Linked DNA regions of Bombyx mori. Each later gene encodes a partner of the first gene's protein in a complex. Links are inferred from orthologs where the notes say so. Each region holds a gene or a part of one and is shown on either strand. Other genes may lie near its edges. The genes, in order: THO complex subunit 5 homolog, THO complex subunit 7 homolog and THO complex subunit 6.

Evidence for each region.
Region 2: THO complex subunit 5 homolog (region 1) and THO complex subunit 7 homolog share a complex: the UniProt entries of both Drosophila melanogaster proteins name them as parts of the THO complex. The link is inferred for Bombyx mori from reciprocal best matches to the Drosophila melanogaster genes thoc5 and thoc7.
Region 3: THO complex subunit 5 homolog (region 1) and THO complex subunit 6 share a complex: the UniProt entries of both Drosophila melanogaster proteins name them as parts of the THO complex. The link is inferred for Bombyx mori from reciprocal best matches to the Drosophila melanogaster genes thoc5 and thoc6.

What each region holds. Positions count from the first base shown.
Region 1 is NC_085114.1:10,648,894-10,656,152, forward strand, and holds the start of THO complex subunit 5 homolog, read right to left. Parts: upstream 4,161-7,259; 5' UTR 4,093-4,160; intron 4,074-4,092; exon of another isoform or gene 3,808-4,073; intron 3,431-3,807; exon of another isoform or gene 2,820-3,430; intron 2,740-2,819; exon of another isoform or gene 2,726-2,739; 5' UTR 2,682-2,725; coding exon 2,583-2,681; intron 2,208-2,582; coding exon 2,070-2,207; intron 1,392-2,069; coding exon 1,101-1,391; intron 588-1,100; coding exon 248-587; intron 1-247. UniProt on the Drosophila melanogaster protein: The THO complex is required for cell proliferation and for proper export of heat-shock mRNAs under heat stress.
Region 2 is NC_085129.1:4,005,564-4,012,091, reverse strand, and holds THO complex subunit 7 homolog, read right to left. Parts: upstream 3,073-6,528; 5' UTR 2,610-3,072; coding exon 2,600-2,609; intron 2,526-2,599; coding exon 2,402-2,525; intron 2,026-2,401; coding exon 1,551-2,025; 3' UTR 1,476-1,550; downstream 1-1,475. Other genes in the region: solute carrier family 35 member F1, read left to right, coding at 4,602-4,653, 5,029-5,396, 6,013-6,164. UniProt on the Drosophila melanogaster protein: The THO complex is required for cell proliferation and for proper export of heat-shock mRNAs under heat stress.
Region 3 is NC_085116.1:3,181,757-3,188,733, forward strand, and holds THO complex subunit 6, read right to left. Parts: upstream 4,559-6,977; 5' UTR 4,382-4,558; coding exon 4,278-4,381; intron 4,196-4,277; coding exon 3,806-4,195; intron 3,681-3,805; coding exon 3,518-3,680; intron 2,766-3,517; coding exon 2,445-2,765; 3' UTR 2,400-2,444; downstream 1-2,399. Other genes in the region: uncharacterized protein LOC101736856, read left to right, coding at 1-132; serine/arginine repetitive matrix protein 2, read left to right, coding at 5,388-5,626. UniProt on the Drosophila melanogaster protein: The THO complex is required for cell proliferation and for proper export of heat-shock mRNAs under heat stress.

The DNA.
Region 1 (7,259 bases):
AGATCCGGCGAGAAACTCAGTGGGCTGTGTCTTAGGGTTAATTTGCTCCGTAAGCTCTTTGTCGCAAGCGACGGGTTTGACGAGAACGATGACCGATGCATGGGGTACCTAACTGCACCGATAGTGGATCGGGGGATCCGAAATGGCGTGTTTAGGACGACTGTTTACCCTTTGCTCTGCTGAATTGGGTATGTAAATCTATGAACTTTAAGATGCAATGAATATTTTGAGCTTTGAAATTGCTTACCAACACTAATAACTTTGCTTCCTAAAATATCAGAATATGCGTTTGCATTTTTAAATAGTAGGAATAGTGATGCTGGAAGCAAGCTTGCGGCCCTGGCTTCATCACGTTTTTCATCCAAGCGTAGAGCAAGACATTCTTGCAAAGGTTTAGTGGATTTCAAGACATCTTTCAGATGTGGAGCCAATGCATCAAGTCTAGAACGTGCAGCAGCAATGGCAGCTGCTACTCGTTCCTTGGAAGATATGAGTTCATTACAGGCTTCAGATAATTCACGACGTTGACGTAACTCCCACTCCAGTCGGGCTAATTGTAATTGATGTTCATCAGCCTTTGTGACCTCCTAAAATTTTACACATTGTCATATTGTTGAATTTGTCAGTACCATTACTGCAACAACTCATCTGATCAGTATCAAAGTTACAAGTACTCAGTATCAAGTGTCTGAGATATGTGTGGAATATGTCATATGTATATTTGTAAGGGGAAACAATGTGAATCATATGACTGGCACCCTCACCAGGACAGATTAAAAGCAGTCATACTTCTGTCATGCCTAACTTTCTACTAACCGTTATGATGCTACTCAGCACGATAGCGCTTTAATGTATAAAATGACAATTGGGATGCAATGCTATCGCCCAAAAACTTAGGTAAGCTCTTGGTCCTGAGTGCATGTATATGTTTTGAACTGTTTATATTATTGCAATTCAAGTTTGGCTTCAATATTTAAAAGAAATTCAGGATTTTAGCTACCTACAGCATTTTAGGGACAAAACTAAAAAAATATTCAGAGCTGAAACGGTTAAAATATGTACATTCAGATATCAGTTACACACTGTGAAAACATACTTACTGATCTAATAATATCAGGAGGTGCATTTTTATAGAATTCTTCAAGAGGCACAAGATCTATTTCTTCATCTTTAGATTTGAATTGTAAACATTTAGTTACTTCTTTGTTTAAGTGATCTGCTTCGTAAAGTAAATTTTGTAACAGTAAATGTGTGGAATCAACTCTCTGTTTCTCTTTATGGAGCGCATCACGACCAGCTCTAGTTCGTACTTTCTCCAGGCGATTTAATTTCTTTAACGCAACCAGCAGTAATGAAGCTTCCACTCTTTTTGCATTTATCTTTTCTTTAGCCTGTAATTATAACTTTTGCCTTAATTGCATTGTTCCATATTTTATATTATTTAACATTAATTACAATTCATAATATAATCTAATCATGTCCATTTTTTTTTTTTATTTGTCGAGCCGGGTGCCGAACCTCCTACGAGGTCCCCGCGTCTAGGGGGGTGTGGGACTTTACGATCTGGTAGTCAACACTACAACCAGACACGCGACGCCACCCTGAAGACGCCGGATCGACGAGTCCTCAATGCGACAGTCGACGACAACGAAGCCGGTCTCCGCGGTACGACAGCCCTGCCAGGCCGCCCGGGCGATGCCGCTGGTGTTCCGGGATACCCAGCTGGACCAGAACCAGCCTGCCGGGTCAGAACGCGATACTCCTGCAGACGACGAAGGCCACCCATACACAGGAAAGATGTCCCTCCCCCGGGTAACGACCAAAGTGTCGTCCGTGTAACAAGCTACGCTCAGACCCGGGAGAGGAGTGCTAAGGGCACCCCGCAGGACCCAGTTCGTAGCCGACATTCCACAAGAGAGGGCCAAGGACCGACCCCTGTGGGACACCACGCTCGACGGGAAAATGGAGCACCGCCCCACAGTGCCCGGTGCACACGGCCATCCTGTTCTCGAGGTAGGACCCGACTCTTATTATGTCCTGCATTAACTATTAATTGAAAAGTGGCATACCTCCAATGTTTCTTTAGTTTTTAACTCTGCAATCTCTTTAAAAAGTTGCCTTATGTCTTGGCATGTTTTATTGAAAAAGGCAGCATCCTTATCAGCTGGACGCAGATGAGCTTCAGCTTCTTCAAATTCAACAACACGCTGGAACAATCCATTTAAAACACATTTTGTAATGAATGAAGAATCTTGAAAAATAAAGACAATTTTTTTGGTGTACTGGGATCTTGTTCAGTTTACAACTTCTCTAAGTGTTAATATTAAACTTGTTTTGAAGATCACAAGATATTTCACGAACAGGATTCACTTAATTTTTATTTTTGTTAATAATAAGTTAAAACTGAAACAAAAACTTCAACAGAAAATATAAAAGCAACAGCTTGCTAAACCAGGAGCCACAAATATAAATTCTCATTTATTAGTAGAACTATGTACTTAAATTTACATTATTATACATATTTATGGTACAGAATAATGAGTCTTGAGGTTATGTTACATCTTATATATTTTGGTCAATACCTTGTATACATCAACGGGAACTGGCTTTGTTCCGTCATTTGATGTACTTGTATTTAATTTGCGCCGTTTCTTAACAGCCGTTACTTCTTCTTTTCCCATGTTTAGTTTTATTCAAGTTTATCAGATTTCATCCAAGTCTGGAACTTTAAAAAAATCACTAATTTAAACAGACAATTACAACCTTACTGCCTATTCACTCTATTCACTGGATTTGTTTTTATATATTAAAGCTTTTACTAGCATCGTTCACGGTAATGTTTGAATTATTTTTCTTTTAATGTTAGCCTTTAATTTGAAAGGTAGTCTTTAACTATGATTTTTTTTAAATTATACTTCATTATTGTACCTACTCAGCAATAGACATGCGTAGTTCCGGACCTAAATAGTTCCTGGAACTATGTCCTCATATGGAACTATATCATTCAATCCGAGTTGTCAAAATTAACATGTTCAGACAGTTCCATTTCCATTCCAAGTGTACTGTTATGCAGGAACTACGAACGCGTTGAACATGACGGACATGCGGACATGATTAGAGCATAGGTACCGCGCGGCGCGGAGGCGTGGCGCGGCGAGTCCACCCGAACGAGTCTCGAACCGACACGAGTCCACGTAAAGAGATAAGGCGACATATGGCACGAATACGAGAGAGTGAGATGGAGCGAGTGCATGAAACTGCGTGTGGAGCTCTTTCATATTACATTTTTATTAATATTGAAGTTATGCTCTACGACCTACGTGTTACAGTCGATAGTTGAATAAATTAAAATGTTTTGCTATGGATTTTGACCTTGACCATGCATCATTCCTACGAGCACTTAACCTTAAGTGTTTGTAGACCATTTCTTAGAAAATCATAATTCAAAATTCGAGAATTTTAAAACATTCACCACTTTCGCTATTCGGTATCTCGGTTATGGGAAAAAGGTTGTAAGGCTACAACGAGCTCAATTTACGTTGTATATCAGAATAACGTGGTATTTTAATTAACAACTGATAGGTTATAGTTTTCGGTGCATCGTACAATACCTACATTGAAAAATAATGAAAGTAGTAGAGTAGTTGAAATTATGACAAAGTAATTACAGTACATTAATAAATTATGCAACCAGCTGTAACAATGAACCTAAAACTAAAAACCTTACAAAATAATATTACAATAATAATTGCCATAAGCGGCAATCTATTTTTATATAGTGCTTTTAAAAAATTGTATTTTTAATACCTTTTTTGAAAAATATTGTGTAATTAATAATAACTTAATACGTGATTCGCTACACTACAAACAGTTACTAGACTTAACATGTCCGCGGAACTAAACAGCTTCAAACAGCTACTAGACTTAATATGTCCGCGGAACTAAACAGCTACAAACTACAAACAGCTACTAGACTTAACATGTTCGTGAAACTAAACAGTTCCGCGAACATGTTTACTGGAACTAGTTCCGACACTCAAAAGAACGATGTCATGTTCAATCCAGTTCCGAACATGATTAGCGCACGTCTACTCAGCAATAGCAACTCTCCATAAATGTCAGTAAATGTCAGTTAAGCATCCTCAAATATTACCTATGTGATAATCTATGTGTGCATCTCTCAGCTCATAGATTTCGACTTTTTGGCGGGAATGCGAGGAGTGAAGCTGTGTGATATGTTTTATTTTGTCTATTTGGTATTTCTTCAGGTTTGAATGTATGATAATGGTGGTTTATTACCTGTTTAGTATTTGCGAAAGGGCACAAATGTGGGAAAATGAAACAAAGTCGCTAGACGTAACTCCTCGGGATCCTCCAAAAAGTCCACTGAAAGAATCTCAGTAAATGACCACCATTTTACTGAGATCATAAATATTTCATCCCATATCATCTCATTTCATTTAATTTCATCCCAGTTGATTAGTTATCTAGTTTATTTTATATAAAATGACTATGATCCCTTTGCCTCTTTAAGTACACAAAACAAAGGACATTTGTTTTTGCTTTCCACCTTGAGAAGGTCAAAAATATCACTGCTGTAATCGCGCCAGCAACCAAATCCTTATATTTTGCCAAACCCGGCTTGTAAGGTGCAATTTTGTTAAATAAGGATATCGCTTAATTTAAGGTTTGTAATTTATTATTATTATGATGTGTATGGATTACAAAAAAGTGGAGTAGTGCAAAAATTTTCAATACAAAAAAATTAGATGCCGATCATTAGCCATCCAATTTTACGTAAATTTCATTGTATCCGTTGAAAATGACTAATTCTTAAACCCCGTGAGCGCAATGAATTTGTAATAAACATTTTAAATCAAAAAATATTTTAAAGTAGGAATTATGATTGTACAACCTATGTTTGACCTTGCCGGCGCATCTCATTCGATTAGCGTTAGCAATAGAAGTAAAAGTAATAGAATTAATCCTTTAATACCCTCAATCGATACAATAAATCTTTTTGCAGTATTCAAGGTAAGTCTCGTGACTAGGCTGTGTGCTTTGGAAATCAGAAGTAGTAATAAGTTGAAATAATGGGGTGTTTTATTAAGCAAATAAGAGTGTCAAGATCCTAAATGGGAAATTGGTGGTTGTATTTTAGGTCTCGGTGGTTCTATGTCTAAGATTTTAAAGGTTGCGTAAATTGCTGGATGTGGGCTATGTAAGACCAGTCATTGTGGTAAACCTTGCTTATATACAGCAGTAAATTTCTGTGGGCTGATGATCCTGAGGTCACTGGGTTTAAATCATACTTTCAATTTAATGACTTGTCCCATACATTTCTATCAACAGATGAACAAAAAAGATATCTGAAAAAATTGAAACTAAATTGCCAAATCTAAAATTCACATATACTAAGCATTATATAGAAATACAATAAAATAGTAATTTTGTATTGATTTAACCTTTAGGATCTATTAAAAATTAGTTTTTTGAGATTGAGATTGCAAGTTTTTTTCTGAACTAAATGAAAATTCAAAATTTCCATCAATTTTACACATCTTTTATTTTTGTAAATTGGACAAAGTCATTTGTCCTTTTATCAAGATAGATATACCGGTATACTTTAAGTGTCTTAACCATGTTGATGGGGCATGATGACTTCTAAACTACTGCCAGTGCTCTCCAAATAAAATGAAAAATTTTTTTTTTTCTAGAAAGTCTAGTTCAGTATTAAAAATGGTAATAAAATCAATCAAGGCTCGTCAAATCTTTGACTCTCGTGGCAACCCTACTGTGGAAGTTGATCTGGTAAGTTTTTTGTTACAAATTATCAACAACTAAATTACTGAAATTCTTTGAAAAATGTAAAGTACCTTTTAATTCTGTGAACAGGTAACAGAGCTTGGCTTGTTCCGGGCAGCTGTACCCTCTGGTGCATCCACTGGTGTTCATGAAGCTCTTGAACTAAGAGATAACATCAAGAGTGAATATCATGGCAAGGGAGTTTTGACCGCAATCAAAAATATCAATGAACTCATTGCTCCTGAACTTACAAAAGCCAACCTCGAAGTAACCCAACAGAGAGAGGTAATTATTTTTAAATCTCAAACAAGAGTAGATATTTCGAAAGGACTCAAAAAAAACTTGAGTGTGGTATTAACATTCAATTGAAGTGGAATTAATATTGATAGGATTTTCATATTAACAAGAAATGTATTTAATAGTTTAAAAATAATATTAAATATATTTAAAAAAGTATATGTCAGCTATGTAAACCTTTTAAATTAACAGATTGATGAACTCATGCTTAAGTTGGATGGCACTGAGAACAAATCCAAACTGGGTGCTAATGCTATCCTTGGAGTTTCCCTAGCTGTTGCTAAGGCTGGTGCTGCCAAGAAGAATGTTCCGCTGTACAAGCACTTGGCTGATTTGGCTGGAAATAATGACATTGTTCTACCTGTACCAGCATTCAATGTGATCAATGGAGGATCACATGCTGGAAATAAACTTGCCATGCAGGAATTCATGATTTTCCCTACAGGTAATTTAATTTTTTAAATTATTAGTGGTAGGACTTCTTGTAAGTCAGAATGGATAGGTACCACCAGTCTTCCTGCTATATATGCCGTGAAGGCGTAAAGCATTTCTATTCGTAAGGTGGGGCAGCCATTATACTATAAATTGAGACTTAGAACTAATGCCTCAAGGTTGTTATTTTACCACTTAAAACCAGCTGGGCTGTGAGCTAGTTCACCCATCTACGCAATAAAAAAATCATTGGTTCCAAAATAACATGTCAAGATATGAAGAAAGCCAAAGATCAGTCTCAGTAATAAAACTGGGGAGAGGCCAATATACAGCTATTGAAAACTGTGGGCTGATCATAATGCAGTTCCAAATTAAGTAAATAAATTGACTTCAAAATGAAAATATCATTTTAACAGGGGCATCCACCTTCAGTGAAGCCATGAGGATGGGTTCAGAAGTGTACCACCATTTGAAAAAGATCATTAAGGAGAAGTTTGGATTGGACTCTACGGCTGTTGGTGATGAAGGTGGTTTCGCTCCAAACATACAAAACAACAAGGATGCTCTTTATCTGATTCAGGATGCTATCCAGAAAGCTGGCTATGCTGGCAAGGTATGAGAACACATCTAATAGTATAATAGAAATAATCAAATTGATGGTAGAATTTACGTCTGTTTACCTGCAATTGTTCATATCAATTGACACAAAATGGCTGACTGAACTA
Region 2 (6,528 bases), on another chromosome or scaffold:
CCTTAAATCATTATTTAGGTAAATACTCGTATACATAAATATATTATACATATACTACATATACTATACCTACTTAGTACCTGCGCTTAATGAGGCTTTCGACACGCAACACAGATTAGGTCTGTTGCGAACTTAACTACTCTAACTCTGCTGTTTCACCTTGAAATAATTGTAGTATATTATTCAGTTTTTGCCCCATAGACACAGCCCACTGAGTTTCTCGCCGGACCTTCTCAATGGATCGCAATCAGGTCGTGAATTCAGCGAAGCACTACTCTTGCTAAAGCTAGTGTTAGCCAATTCTCTCGGATTGAGCCTGTGAGCTCACCGAACCGTCCGCACTTAGCTGGAATAGCTTCTTAAGCTTTCAGCGAATAGGCAGAGAAAAGTTTTCGCGAATCGCAGACACAACTACAACTACTTTTAAGGTTTAATCTGACTTTTTTCTGTTATTATACTATTTCCTATGTTTCGAAGATTTACAGCCTTAGTGGTCACGGTCTACTGACGATTATAAAGCACTTTATTGATGACAAATTAATTTAAACCATTTAATGTTTGCTTAAATAGGGCGTGTTTTCTATTTATTGGTGTACATCGTCCAAAGAATTTACGATCTATCTAGTGTTAAGCGGTTGTAGTTCTGAATGGATGGTAGCCATTTGGCTGTCCCTATGGCGTTGTAAAGACCACAAACGACGGAACACTTTTTAACAATTAATCATATATCTCGATCACCACCGGTTAGCTTTTTTATTGGAAGTTTGGTATTCTATTATAAATTTTTTGCTATTTCTTTCAACCAGATATTTTCTGGGATTTTTGATGTGACAACACTTTCACGACTTGATTACATACCGTAGGTAAACCTTATAGAAACCATTTAAAACAAAAAAAAGGTATTTGCGATTCATAATTTAATGTTTGCATTAGATCACTATGTAGTGTGACTTTTGGACAAGTCATGAAAACAACAAAGGATCTACCAGGCAAAGCCTAGCTAAACTATCCTAATCCTAAACCTAGGACTTTAACCTACATCTAAACCTAATCCTAAACCTAAGAATCCTCGCAACGAAAAAGATCGGACCATACCTCTGGGAATGTCGCCCAGAGGATCCCGTGATCCGCCACCCACGGACGCGCCTGGTGGAAGTCCAGCATCTCCCCCGCAGACGAGACCCACAGCACGCAATCATTGCGGGCTGAAGGTCCCGTCCAGATCGCGGGCCCCTACGTAACCTGATTCAACCCCAAAGCCAAGGTGAATGGGGTCAAGCTATTTTTTTCAGTTTTTGTGTATTTTTGTAGTGAACAATGTATAGTAACGCATTGTATATAAATATTTAAGCCTCCAGAACCATTATGATCTCCGTTTTATTACTAAAACAAAAAAAAACTATACAAATCAATGTCGAACTTAAAAAGTGTCCCAATTCTCCCCATTTTACAGTACTGAAAATGTAAACAAAAAATCAAGTAGAAAATTCATACTTTATTAGAAATCTCACATAGAGAAATAATCTTATACTCTAATACATCACTCATTATTATGATTCATTTGATATTTCTTTCATATCAACATCATCACAAATAGTCTCTGCATCATCTAGTTCATCTAATAATGCTTGTAATTGATGTATTGAAGTTACAAGCACATGAAATTGTTTCTTTCGTAATGCTAACCGACTTTCCAATTGCTGTTTGGTGGTTTCCAAGTTTGCTAGTTCAGTCTTCAGAGTGCTCAATCTCTCAGAGGTTTCCTTACGATCAGGCTGTTCACTGATAACCTTAGCCAAGACATCATATTCTATTCTGTTTTTTCTGACAGTCTTTGCTTGTGCTAAATCTGTTTTGCTCTTCTGTATGTTCTCTTTGGCCACCTCTATTCCGCTTTCTAGAATTTTCGAGAGTGCTTCGTAGCTTTTTAATTCAGCAGCCATCATTTCAGAACCGAGTTGCGATTTTGTGACAGCAAATTCGCATTGTGCCAGTTGAGCTAACATACGATCATGAGTAGCTTTACTAAAACGAGAAATCTTAATCGTATTACATATTCTGGAACTACAAAAACTTACATTTTGACTGCAGATTTTTATTCTCATAATAAAACAACAAATGTATATGGGGAATAAATGAAAAGGTTAATGAACACTTAATTGAATATTAAGGCTCTTTATTATAGATAAACAGATGCCAACATTTCCCTGCTGGTATTAAATGCTTACCAGAACCTTTGGGACACGAGATAGAAGTTTCAATTGAATTTACAATGGCAATTCTACCCTTCAAATTGGAAGCTATGATCAATGCGGAAGCTATGATAATTCGGAAGTGGAACAGTGTTTACGCATGTGAGCTCACAATACGTCCTAATACGGTACTATTTATTAAAACCAACCTTTCTTCCGGTTTGTCATCCGTTGTATTGCACCATTTTATCAAAGTTTTTAAAAGTACATTCAGTCTCCTGTCGTCTCCAGTACCGTCACCGTCGATCAGAAGTCTTCTACGAATCACATCTTCTGGAAATAACCAATGAGTATTGAAATAGTATTTGTTTTTGAGTAGTTTTGTATTCTTAGGTAAAGTTATTTACCGTCACCCATTATGTTTGGAGTAAAATTCAAATGAAATTATGATCTCGTCCGAGTTTGCCTTATAAATTGTTAGGTAATGTTTTTATTCTACAAAATAATCTTATCATAAGCGAATTCAAATTTATCCTTGTTCTTTATATGTAAGTGCTAACTTGTGTGTTTTATTTACAAAAATCAAGAAAAATTAAAAATATTTTATCTCCAAATTTTGGCAGGTTAAATTATTAATAAAAAAAAAGTTTTTTTTATCCAACTCATAGGCAAAGGAGACATTCTCATAAGTTAAAAATGCTCTTCTTTTTATCTAAATATTTTACGACAAAGCCTGAAATCATATCTGTTGCATAAAAAATGAAATGATATAAATAAGACGATAACTATTTTTATATTTAAAGATGAAGAAAACTAAACTAAATAAAACATTCACACAGTATTACAACTTTACTATTTCACATTCCTGTCAAAATTGATTGAAACAAAATTGCTGACCGTGGTTTCTTGAGATCTCAAAATTTAATTGAACGCTGATTAAATTCTTAAGATTTTAAGAACACAAAGCTTAACCTTTTTATTTTAATTAAAAGATTTTGATCGGCTATTTTCCCTTTGCTCATTCAATGGACGAAAGAAAACCACAGACTATTATGAGATGCCTGCCAAACAAGAAAAAAAAACAGATGTCACAACCACAATTCACATGTTGTTTTGCCTTTCGAATTTCGATCCATTGTTCAGGAAATGATGAATAACTGCTATATTAAACCCTTTAAACTATTGAATCTATTTTAACAGTAAATTAGCTGAGTAAACTTTCGGAATATCTTTCACTGAAACAATGGAAACGTCAAGTTTCAGTGATAAAGTCGAGATTTATTTCTCGGAACTTGGGCGATGGCTAGTATCAATAAATAAATAAATAAAATATTTTTTGGGTAAACGTCCTTAAACTAACTAAGTGTGCATTTTCAGGAAAGTGTGGAGGAGCATACTGCTTGGTCAAGTGTTATCCTTATTTCTGAGCGGCAAATGTATATTAACAACAATGTTACAAAGCGCAACCTGGCAGTTTCCTATCACGGGGCAGCTGGTCGTGCCGTATTTAGTACTGTTTGTACTCTTTACCCCGAGCCTACTTTGTACCGGGCTGGAGAAGCTAACGAAGTAAGTTCCAATTCAATTTTAAGACATGAAAAATATCGTCTTTTAAACCAGTTCTATTATTGAAAGAAGTATAAGACAAGACTAAAATAATTAAACTTACTAGGTACTATTACTATCTTATGTTCAATGGTGAGTGCGCTAAGTTTTCTTAATATCTTCTTACTACAAATGTGGAAGTAACCAATATTTAAATCTAACTATAAAATGTTACATTTATCGAGATAATTTTCTCTTATTCTTTTGCTTTGGGATAACTTCCCGCTCTACTCTTTTTATTAGTCAGCAAAATAAAGTATAAAAACATTTCTTAATTCAAGCTAGTATCAGCTGTGACATGTTGGAAAGCTCTGTGCATTCTGTTGTGTGTTTTGCTTTTTTCTTTATTAATACAAGAAATGGAATGGTAGCTGGCCTAATTAACCTTTAAATTTTCAATGTTCAATTCAAAGATGACTGTCTGAATAGATAGTTAAATAAAAAAGTAAATGTTAAATAATAATCAAGTATTTCTACTTAAAAAAGAGATGAAACAAAAAAATAATTACATACCTAGGTATAGAAATCATGTATTTCATTTCAATAAAAGATTCCATATTTAGTAGTTAATTGGGCAATGCAACTAATGAAATGAATTTTGTTGTTAGAAGATGGTGGGTACTCATCATTGCCTGTGTTCTTGACGTGGAAGCTGGCTGGCTGCTAGTCATGTCACAGAGGTTTACATCAGTGTTGAGCTGACAGCTGTTAGCATGCAGTGGTGTTGGTGCAGCACTGGTCGGTGGTGCTTGGAGTGGTCAGAGACTTGGTGTTTCTCATGTTGCTGGAGCCACCCTTGGCCTGATGGCTGTAGTCTGCGTTGTGTGGGCTGATGTTGAGGGTGCTCCTACTGATGGTAACATTCTTTCATTCTTAGGTAGATTGGTAACATTTTTATTGATGTCCCTGATGAGTGAATCTAATTAGACAATAAACACACAGTAGAGTGGTTACTGTTATAAAGTGGTTACCAGGTTATACTAGTGCAATGCCAACTTAAGTTGTCCTAGCTTTTGCTAGCATAATTGAATATTACTTTAAATTGCTTGGAAAATAATTTAATTACTTTGATTGGAGTAATATTTTTTTGTGTATTACAATGTTTTTGTCGTAATTAATAATGTAATTGAAGTACTTGTTGTGTTTATTTGATGCATGTGTACCCTTTATTAAATCATGCAGTTACTGAAATAAGTTAAAATATTCTGAAAATGAATTTGATATTTTTCAGGTAAAAATCAACTAGTAGGCGATATGCTATGCCTTGGTGGATCATTATTGTTTGCAACAGTCACAGTGCTTCAAGAACTGATGCTCAAAACTCATACATGCTCAGACTATTTAGCGATCCTCGGTATTGTGGGTAGCTTTGTATCTTGCACTCAAACATTCTTTCTGGAATTCCTTGAATTGATGAACTTTAACTGGTATGAGTTAGAGACGATTGTGCAATTGGGAAGCTACTGCACAGTACAAACAATATTCCAGATATTACAATGTTTTATGCTGAGAGATGCTGGGTCTATTTTATTGCATCTATCATTCCTGTCTGCTGACTATTACACTGTGATCGCTGGCATGTATATATTTCAGTTTAAGGTAAGTTTAACTATCCATATTAATTTATAATTAGTGTTAGATAAGAATTCAATAATATGTATGTTATGAATGTATGTTAAAGATGGTTAAACTATATACTACAATGCCAAAAAATGTTGCTCCATTTACATTTGAGAATTTTACTTGAAATTGCTTTAAAATAGTGGCTATCTTATCAAACCAGAACACCCAGTACTTCTCTGCCGTGCAATGTCAAATGATTCCTCCAATTCACCCAGGATCAAAATCACTAGTTTCCCTACATTATAGATTATTAGTGAAATAAGATAAATGTTTTAAAAAGTCAGAGCAAAGTAATCATGTTATTGATGTTTAATTGAATATGCAATTTTGAAAAGGGCACATCTCTGAAAATGTAAAATGTTCAGGAAATGAAAAAAAAAACTGATTCTTTTCTCAAGCAGTGTAAAATTTTAAATATTAACTTTTGAGATATATTTTAGTGTTAATTAGCAATTAAAAATTACGGGAATTATTATAAAATGGGTGTAGGTAAGCCTCAAAACTACATGTGTATAAAAAAAAACGTATTTGACATGTGCCCTTTTCGAAATTGCATATTGAATTATATTGAATAATTATTATATTGTTACAGTTCCACGCTCTATATTTCCTATCATATTTACTGGCGATGGTTGGAGTGTTTCTATTCAGCAGTCGCTCTACGTCGACGCCAGAGCCAACTCCCCCTGAACGTCTGCCCCAGCTCGTCAACGATTCAGTTCAGTCGCAAGATAATGTGTCAATGTTAGTTTTAATTAATATAAAATACCTCCTAATGCAGCTTTTTTTTATTGCTCTCGTAGGCAGACGAGCTTACGGCCCACCTGATGGTGAGTGGTTATCGTCGCCCATGGACTTCAGCAATGCCAGGGGTAGAGCCAAGCCGCTGCCTACCGCTAAACGCTACTGTAGCTTCATAAACGTGAAACATTTTTATTATTGTAGATTCTTATTTTGCTTTTTAAAAATCAATTTGAATAAAGACTCATTGATATTCTATATTTGGATTCAAGCCAAGATTTTTTCCTGGCAATAGTATCAATCCCACAGACAAAACAAAAACAAGAAATTAGAAAAACTCTAACACTATTAAATGTATTTAGGTATT
Region 3 (6,977 bases), on another chromosome or scaffold:
CAGAAAGGTGAAGTTGTAGTGCTCGAGAACAGCGCGCGTGCCAGTACAAATGTCGATTGGTTTTACGTTAAGAAGAAAGATGGAAGTCTTGGGTTCATACCAGCGGTTATAGCGGATCATGGGTACATTTGAAGAGCTAGCTCGTCTAGCTTAAGGTAGAAATGTGACAATGTCTAGCAAGCCCCAGGCTTCCCGAGGTGTTGTACCACGCAAACACCCAGGACCTGATCCTAGAAGATATTTCCATCACTTCGGGCGCATGATCCTAGAAGATATTTCCATCGCTTCGGCGCCATGTCGATGGGCGATTTGTTAGCTCATCTGTCGATCTAATACAGAAAATTCTCAAAGTTTAGATCGTGATCAGTATCTATAACATCTTCATTTAGTTTATAATTAAAACTACTGTTAACCTCGCGTTTTTTTATTTTTCATTATACTATTTCTTAAATTTCGAATACGTGACGTTTTTCGTGGCCACGGACGACTGTAGTCCGTGGACTGGAGTAAGACTAGTTTTAACTATGTCCACAAGTGGAAACCAAAGGAATACGATACGACCTTCAGTTCGTGCAACCACTAAAATTCTGAAGGATTTATGCGACATACCGCGATTTCAAATTGAAAGCATGCAACAAAAGCTTCGAAACCAATGTTCTTTTTTTTTTCGTTCAAAAAAGTTCACGAACGATTTATCTCCAGCGATTATTGGAGCGCATAAATATTATAATGTTGAAGTCTGAATTGCATTTTATGCCCTACGTATTCGTTGGTAACCTAAAAGGCTATTCCTGCTTCGTTGTGGCTGGTAGGTGAGGTTTATGGGGTTTACTAAAACTGGCCCGAGCAAGAGCAGTGCTTGGCACAATCTAGCACCAGATCAGGCAGAACTGGTGGCAGGACCTGTTGTGAGTCCGCGAGTAGGTACCACCACTCTGCCTATTTCTGCCGTGAAGCATTAATGCGTTTCGGTTTGAAGGGTGGGGCAGCCATTGTAAGTATATTTGGGACCTTAGAACTTAATCTCAAGGTGGGTGGCGCACTTACGTTGTGGATGTTTATGGGCTCCAGTAACCACTTAACACCAGGTGGGCTGTGAGCTCGTCCACCCAACCAAGCAATAAAAAATAAAAAAATCACAATTGGATTACAATAATGAACGCAACAAACTCCAACAAACTGTTTATACAATCAAAACGCTCAGTTTGTTCGCAACACGCCAAGAGTATGTTTAAATATATACATATACTAGCTGACCCGGCAAACTTTGTGTTACCTTAAATAAGATTTCTAGGGAAATTCTACAGTAGAAAAAAAAACCTCATTTAACCGCATAATACTTCATTATAAACGTTGATCGTAGAGGGGTGAAAATTTCAGAGTATAATGAATTTTTTTATTCTACGTCATGACAAAATAAAAACAAAATTCTCGCAAAAATTTTTAAAGTTTTTAATTAGCAAATAAAAATAAGGGTTGATCGTAGAGGGGTGAAAATTCAGGGTTGTATGTATTTTTGTATGTTGTATCATAAAAAAATAGAAATTAAAAATTTTGTATAAAAAATAAAATAAAAAATTTAGGGGTGGACTACCCCTAACATTTAGGGGGATGAAAAATAGATGTTGGCTGATTCTCATAGATACCGGATAAGCACAAAAAATTTCATCAAAATCGGTCAAGCCGTTTCGGAGGAGTATGGCAACGAAAACTGTGACACGAGAATTTTATATATTAGATAGATAAAACACCCAGACTAAGAGCAAACAAACCTGTTCATCACACAATGCTTGTCCAATGAAGGAATCGAACTAGTGATACCAATTAGACGTAAATAGGAGGCGATTGAACTTATGAGCTGTTTCAATTTGAGGCTGGAGCAAGTAACTATAATTTACACAAGTACCGACTGGGCGCAATTGGTTAAATATTGTTATCCAAAAAACTTTATTGATGTTTTAATGTTGCATACATGCATATTTTACATTGTCCATTAAAAGCTCAAAATATGTACAGGTGACTGAGAAAATGAAAAATTAAGTTATTTAAATATCCTAGAGTAAATTTTACTGAACTTATCATAATATTAGTAAATACTGTATATTAGTCGTCTATTATCAAAGGTGGCAATCTGTGCATTTGGACAAAAAAATGTTATTGATATGTCAATACAGATTGATTTGAATATAATAGTCTCCTTCAAAGAATACGGTTCAAAACCTGCATTAAATAAAGGTTAATACTTAACCTGTTATTTATCTAAGATGTCGCTCATAAGAGTTTTGTGACTACCAATGGAATACAAAGTCAATAATTCATTTTTCTGATTTACCAATAATTTTCCAAAAGTCACATTACCGGCTTTGATAATAGTCGACTCATATAATAAAACTTAGGTCTCGATTTAATTTCATTTAATTTTTTCCACCTAAATATGCTTATAACTATCGAAAATGTAAAACTTGATCTTTGTAATTAAGAGACGTGCACAAATCTATTTCTGGACTGGAACCGGCTAAACTTAACAGGGTGCTGTATTTAGTTCTTAGCACCGCACTGTATATGGTCGTGGCAGACACTGGTAGTTCTACTCTCACCTCACCCGAGTAGCTCATTTGGTAAAAATGTTTAGAAGTACCACCGGCAAACACACAGTCATCATGAAAGAATGACACATGAATCCCATTGTCTGGAATGTCAAAGACTGTCACTGCATCTAATGAACGAAGGTGCCACAGAGACAATCGAGGTCCACCACCGCATACCTGTAAATTTTTTATATATTCCATTATTAATTATCACCCAGGTGTTAAGTGGTTACCAGAGCCCATAGACATCAGTACGTTGTAGATGTCTATGGGCTCTAGTAACCACTTAACACCAAGTGAGCTGTGAGCTCGTCCACAATCTAAGCAATAAAAAAAATTCTACAATGTAAATGCGCCATCCATCTTGAGATATAAGTTCTAAGGTCTCAGTATAGTTACAACGGCTACCCCACCCTTCAAACCGAAACACATTACTGCTTCACTGCAGAAATAGACAGGGTGATGGTACCTACCCGTGCAGACTCACAAGAGGTCTTACCACCAGTAATTATGCAAATTATAATTTTGCAGGTTTGAGTTTCATTACACAATGTTATTCCTTCACCGTGAAATCAATTGTGAACATTGGTCAAGTACGTATTTCATTAGAAAAATTGATACCTGGCTTGTGGGATTCTAACATTGTTGCATTGCTAGATATGATTGCACCGGACATCTTATCCTTTAGGCCACAACGACTTCGACACAACTTTCCTTAGGAATGCTATTGATGGCTTAAGAGGGTTTTAAATAAAATAAATCGCCTTTTACAACACACACAGAAAAATATCAGTCACAATATTATTATGTAAATTCCCTATTAAACAAAAATAATTTTTTCACTGATTTTCATTTTTGTTTTTATTTTCACCTCTGGCATTTTAATGATAATATGTATGAATAATTAGATTGATGATAGATGAACTTACAATCCAGTCATCTCCAAGAGCTGCTGAGCCAATCCACTTGCCAATATCAGGTCTGCTGACCTTATTATTAGTGTGCGGTTCCAATTTATTGTGTGATTTTCCACTTCTAGTATCCCAAAGCATAACCAAACCATCTTCGCCTGCTGAAATAATCTGTTGGTTTCTGAAATTTTTTTTTAAATAACTTCTTTATTACTGTAATATTAGCCATAAGCATATATGTATATCACTGTCAGGGCAAATATATTAGCAGCTGAAATAAGGCAAATAAACAAACAAACAACTTACTTTCCATGAATAGAATGAATAAAATTATTATGTCCCTTATAAGTTGAAATAAGGCTCCCATCTTCCAAATTAAACACATACACATTATTGTCTCCACAACCAGCATACAGCTTCTCACTGTCTTGAGATAGCCACATGCAGTTCACATCGTTGTAGTCCAAAAAAGTTTGGGAAGGAATCTTTATGCTCCATACAGGTTTTGATAATTTAACAGAAACAACAGCCTTCCAGTCCCATCCGCATATTTCATTAACGGTACCAATTATAAGGAATTTTTCCGTTGAAACTAGACTACAAATCTGTTTTTTTGAATCTATAGAATGTATATGTTTTGGTTTGTTGTATTCAACAGATAATAATTCTAGTACTGGATTTAAAATACGATCTAGGCTGTAACAAAAATTTAGAATGAATTTATAAACCTCTCCAAATATTAAAATATACTTCTATAAATTTAATACAAATAACATACTCAAATACAGCAAGATCTCCATAAATATTGCCGGCCACTAAATATTTACCACACGGCGATAAAGTCTGAGATAAAACAGTGTTATACAACATTTTATTCAACATGGTAAAAGTTTTGTGTTTGCTCAGAAACTAGACTACTTCGTCAGTTTTTCTAGATGCCATGCAATATTTTAATTGAAAAAGAAACATAAACAACCATAGGTAAACAACACAATTTAAAGCTACATATAACCTCTATTTCGAATGCAGCGATTTTTTTGCGGCATACACTCTTTAGGCAAAGGGAACAGTGTCCATGCTCTATTTTAAAAAACCAAAATGATTTAGCTCTATAGCTCTTTATGACGAATTGAGATAAAATTAAGGCAAATTCACCCTGTATAAGAACAGAAATTTAGTAAGACCTAAGGTTATTTTTTTAACAAAGGAAGCTATATAGACGAAGCTATCTTTCCACAAATCAACTTAATAAATCACGTATTAATTTATTGACTCATTACTATTATAGGTTAGAAACATTTTAATAAAATGAAATAGGTACTTCACTTTACTCTTACTAAAACTCTTATTACACTATATTATTATGTACTCTTATCTAAAACAAAAATATTGTGGTTTTATTGACATTTGCCTAAGTTTCTTTTCATATATTTCATTTTGTTTGCCGAAAACTCATTAAATCATGTTACATGTATTATTTTTATTCAAAAATTATGCTTTTTATCTTATTGTTTAGCGATCTCAAAATAGAAAAGTTATTCTAAAGTTCCAATTGATTTGCTTGACTTTGTCATTGTCAGTTAAAAACTATAGATAAAATGAAACATCTAAATTCATAGCCATTTCGTTGTCTATGAATAATTCAATCTAAAAAAATCAAAACCAAGCAAGATGGTCGTGTTCAATTCTTTTTAAACATAAACATATAATCTAATAATATTGTGAGTTATTGATCATTAACGTTGATACATTTTTTGAAAGAGAAATTGTTATTTATAGATTATTTTACTAACTTTTCTGGGAGTTTCTAATCTCGTGGCCTAATTCAGAACCTTCAATTTGCACACCGTAAGTGTTACGATTGGTTTTAGGTATATAATACGAAATAATGTATAATGGGATCGGGTTGACGACGCCACGGGGCTCCGGTACAAATGGCTACGTACAGAGAAATTGGGCCACGGTAAGAAAAACAAAAGACTCCGTCAACTACCGGACTGAAGATGAGATCGCCAAGTTGGATTCGGCGTCAAACAAACAACCAAATAGAGAAATACTCGATCATGAGAGGAAAAGGAAGATTGAAGTCAAGTGTGCAGAGTTGGAAGATAGCCTGGAAGAACAAGGGTGAGTAGTTAGCATAAATACAACAAATACACAGAAATCGGATTCATGGTATTGGAGATTTGTTCCGGGGATGGTCTCTTAAATTTTTATGATATGAGGTTGGCACACGTTGGGCTTTATAAATCAACATTATTTTGTAATTCTTGCTACCTTTTTCAGGGTTTCCAATTATTATATATTTTTTTTCTAAATTTAATTTTGTTTGGTAATTTAATATTCATATTATTAGGCTTTTTCTTCATATTTCAAGGAAACCGTGATTACTTTAACAACTATGACAGTCTGCTAATAATATTACTAATGAGTTATAATAACTGATGATAGCAGTAGGTAATCATAGGAAATTTTATGTGCTGTGAGTTTTTGTTTGTTATCAATTGCCAATATTTGGATGATGGTATTGTTGTTCATTGAAATTATACTACTACTTCATAATCTTCTATTCATAGCCATCAAACTTAGGCAAAAATACTGTAGTTTTAAAGTTTGATTCTAACATTTAATTTGCCATAAAGATGTGTTCTGCTACACAGATAATGTTAGTAATCAACGAATATGGATAGAAAAGGTATGGAATAAGTATAATATTTTAAATACCGCCATAATTGCTAATTATTTAAACATTTATTTTGCATAGAAATTTATAATCAATAACAAACCACATATTGCCATTTAGCATCAAACTAAAGTTCCCAGTGCTGTGGCTACTAAAGACTATTTATACAAAGTGTATTGAACTAAATACAAATAACACTTAAACATAAAACAAAACTTATTAATTATGCAAATGCTTGCCTCAATTGATCAAACCCATGATCCTTGGCCATGCAGTCAGGGACAAATGTTTGCCTCAATTGATCAAACCCATGATCTTTGGCCATGCAGTCAGGGACATATGCATTGTGCCGCTGAGTCAGCCAATAAGGCACCAATGTGTCCAGTGAGCCAATTTTTTTTTGCTCTTCTGAATCTGCAATCAATGTAACCAGATAAACTAATGCTATAAACAGGAATGAAGAGTCACCTGCTGATTGATAGTCTCTACCAATAATCATCAATATTTAGAGTCACATTCTTTGATCCAGTCGGAATATTACATGTTTCTGAATACTTAAAGAGCCATGTGTGTCTGGCTTACACAAGGTTGTGTGCTAGTTGGTTTTGATGATTTTTATGTTGCCTACTATAGGTACATAAAAGAGCAGGTCGAAAATCATCTAATATAGTCTATTAAACACTTTGAAAAATGTAAAGATAGAATAAGAAGCATAGCTTCAAAATTGAATATCATTTCAGAGGCTTTGGATTGTTTTGTAGACCAGAAGCTAATTTTCTAGGGAGAGTTTTGATT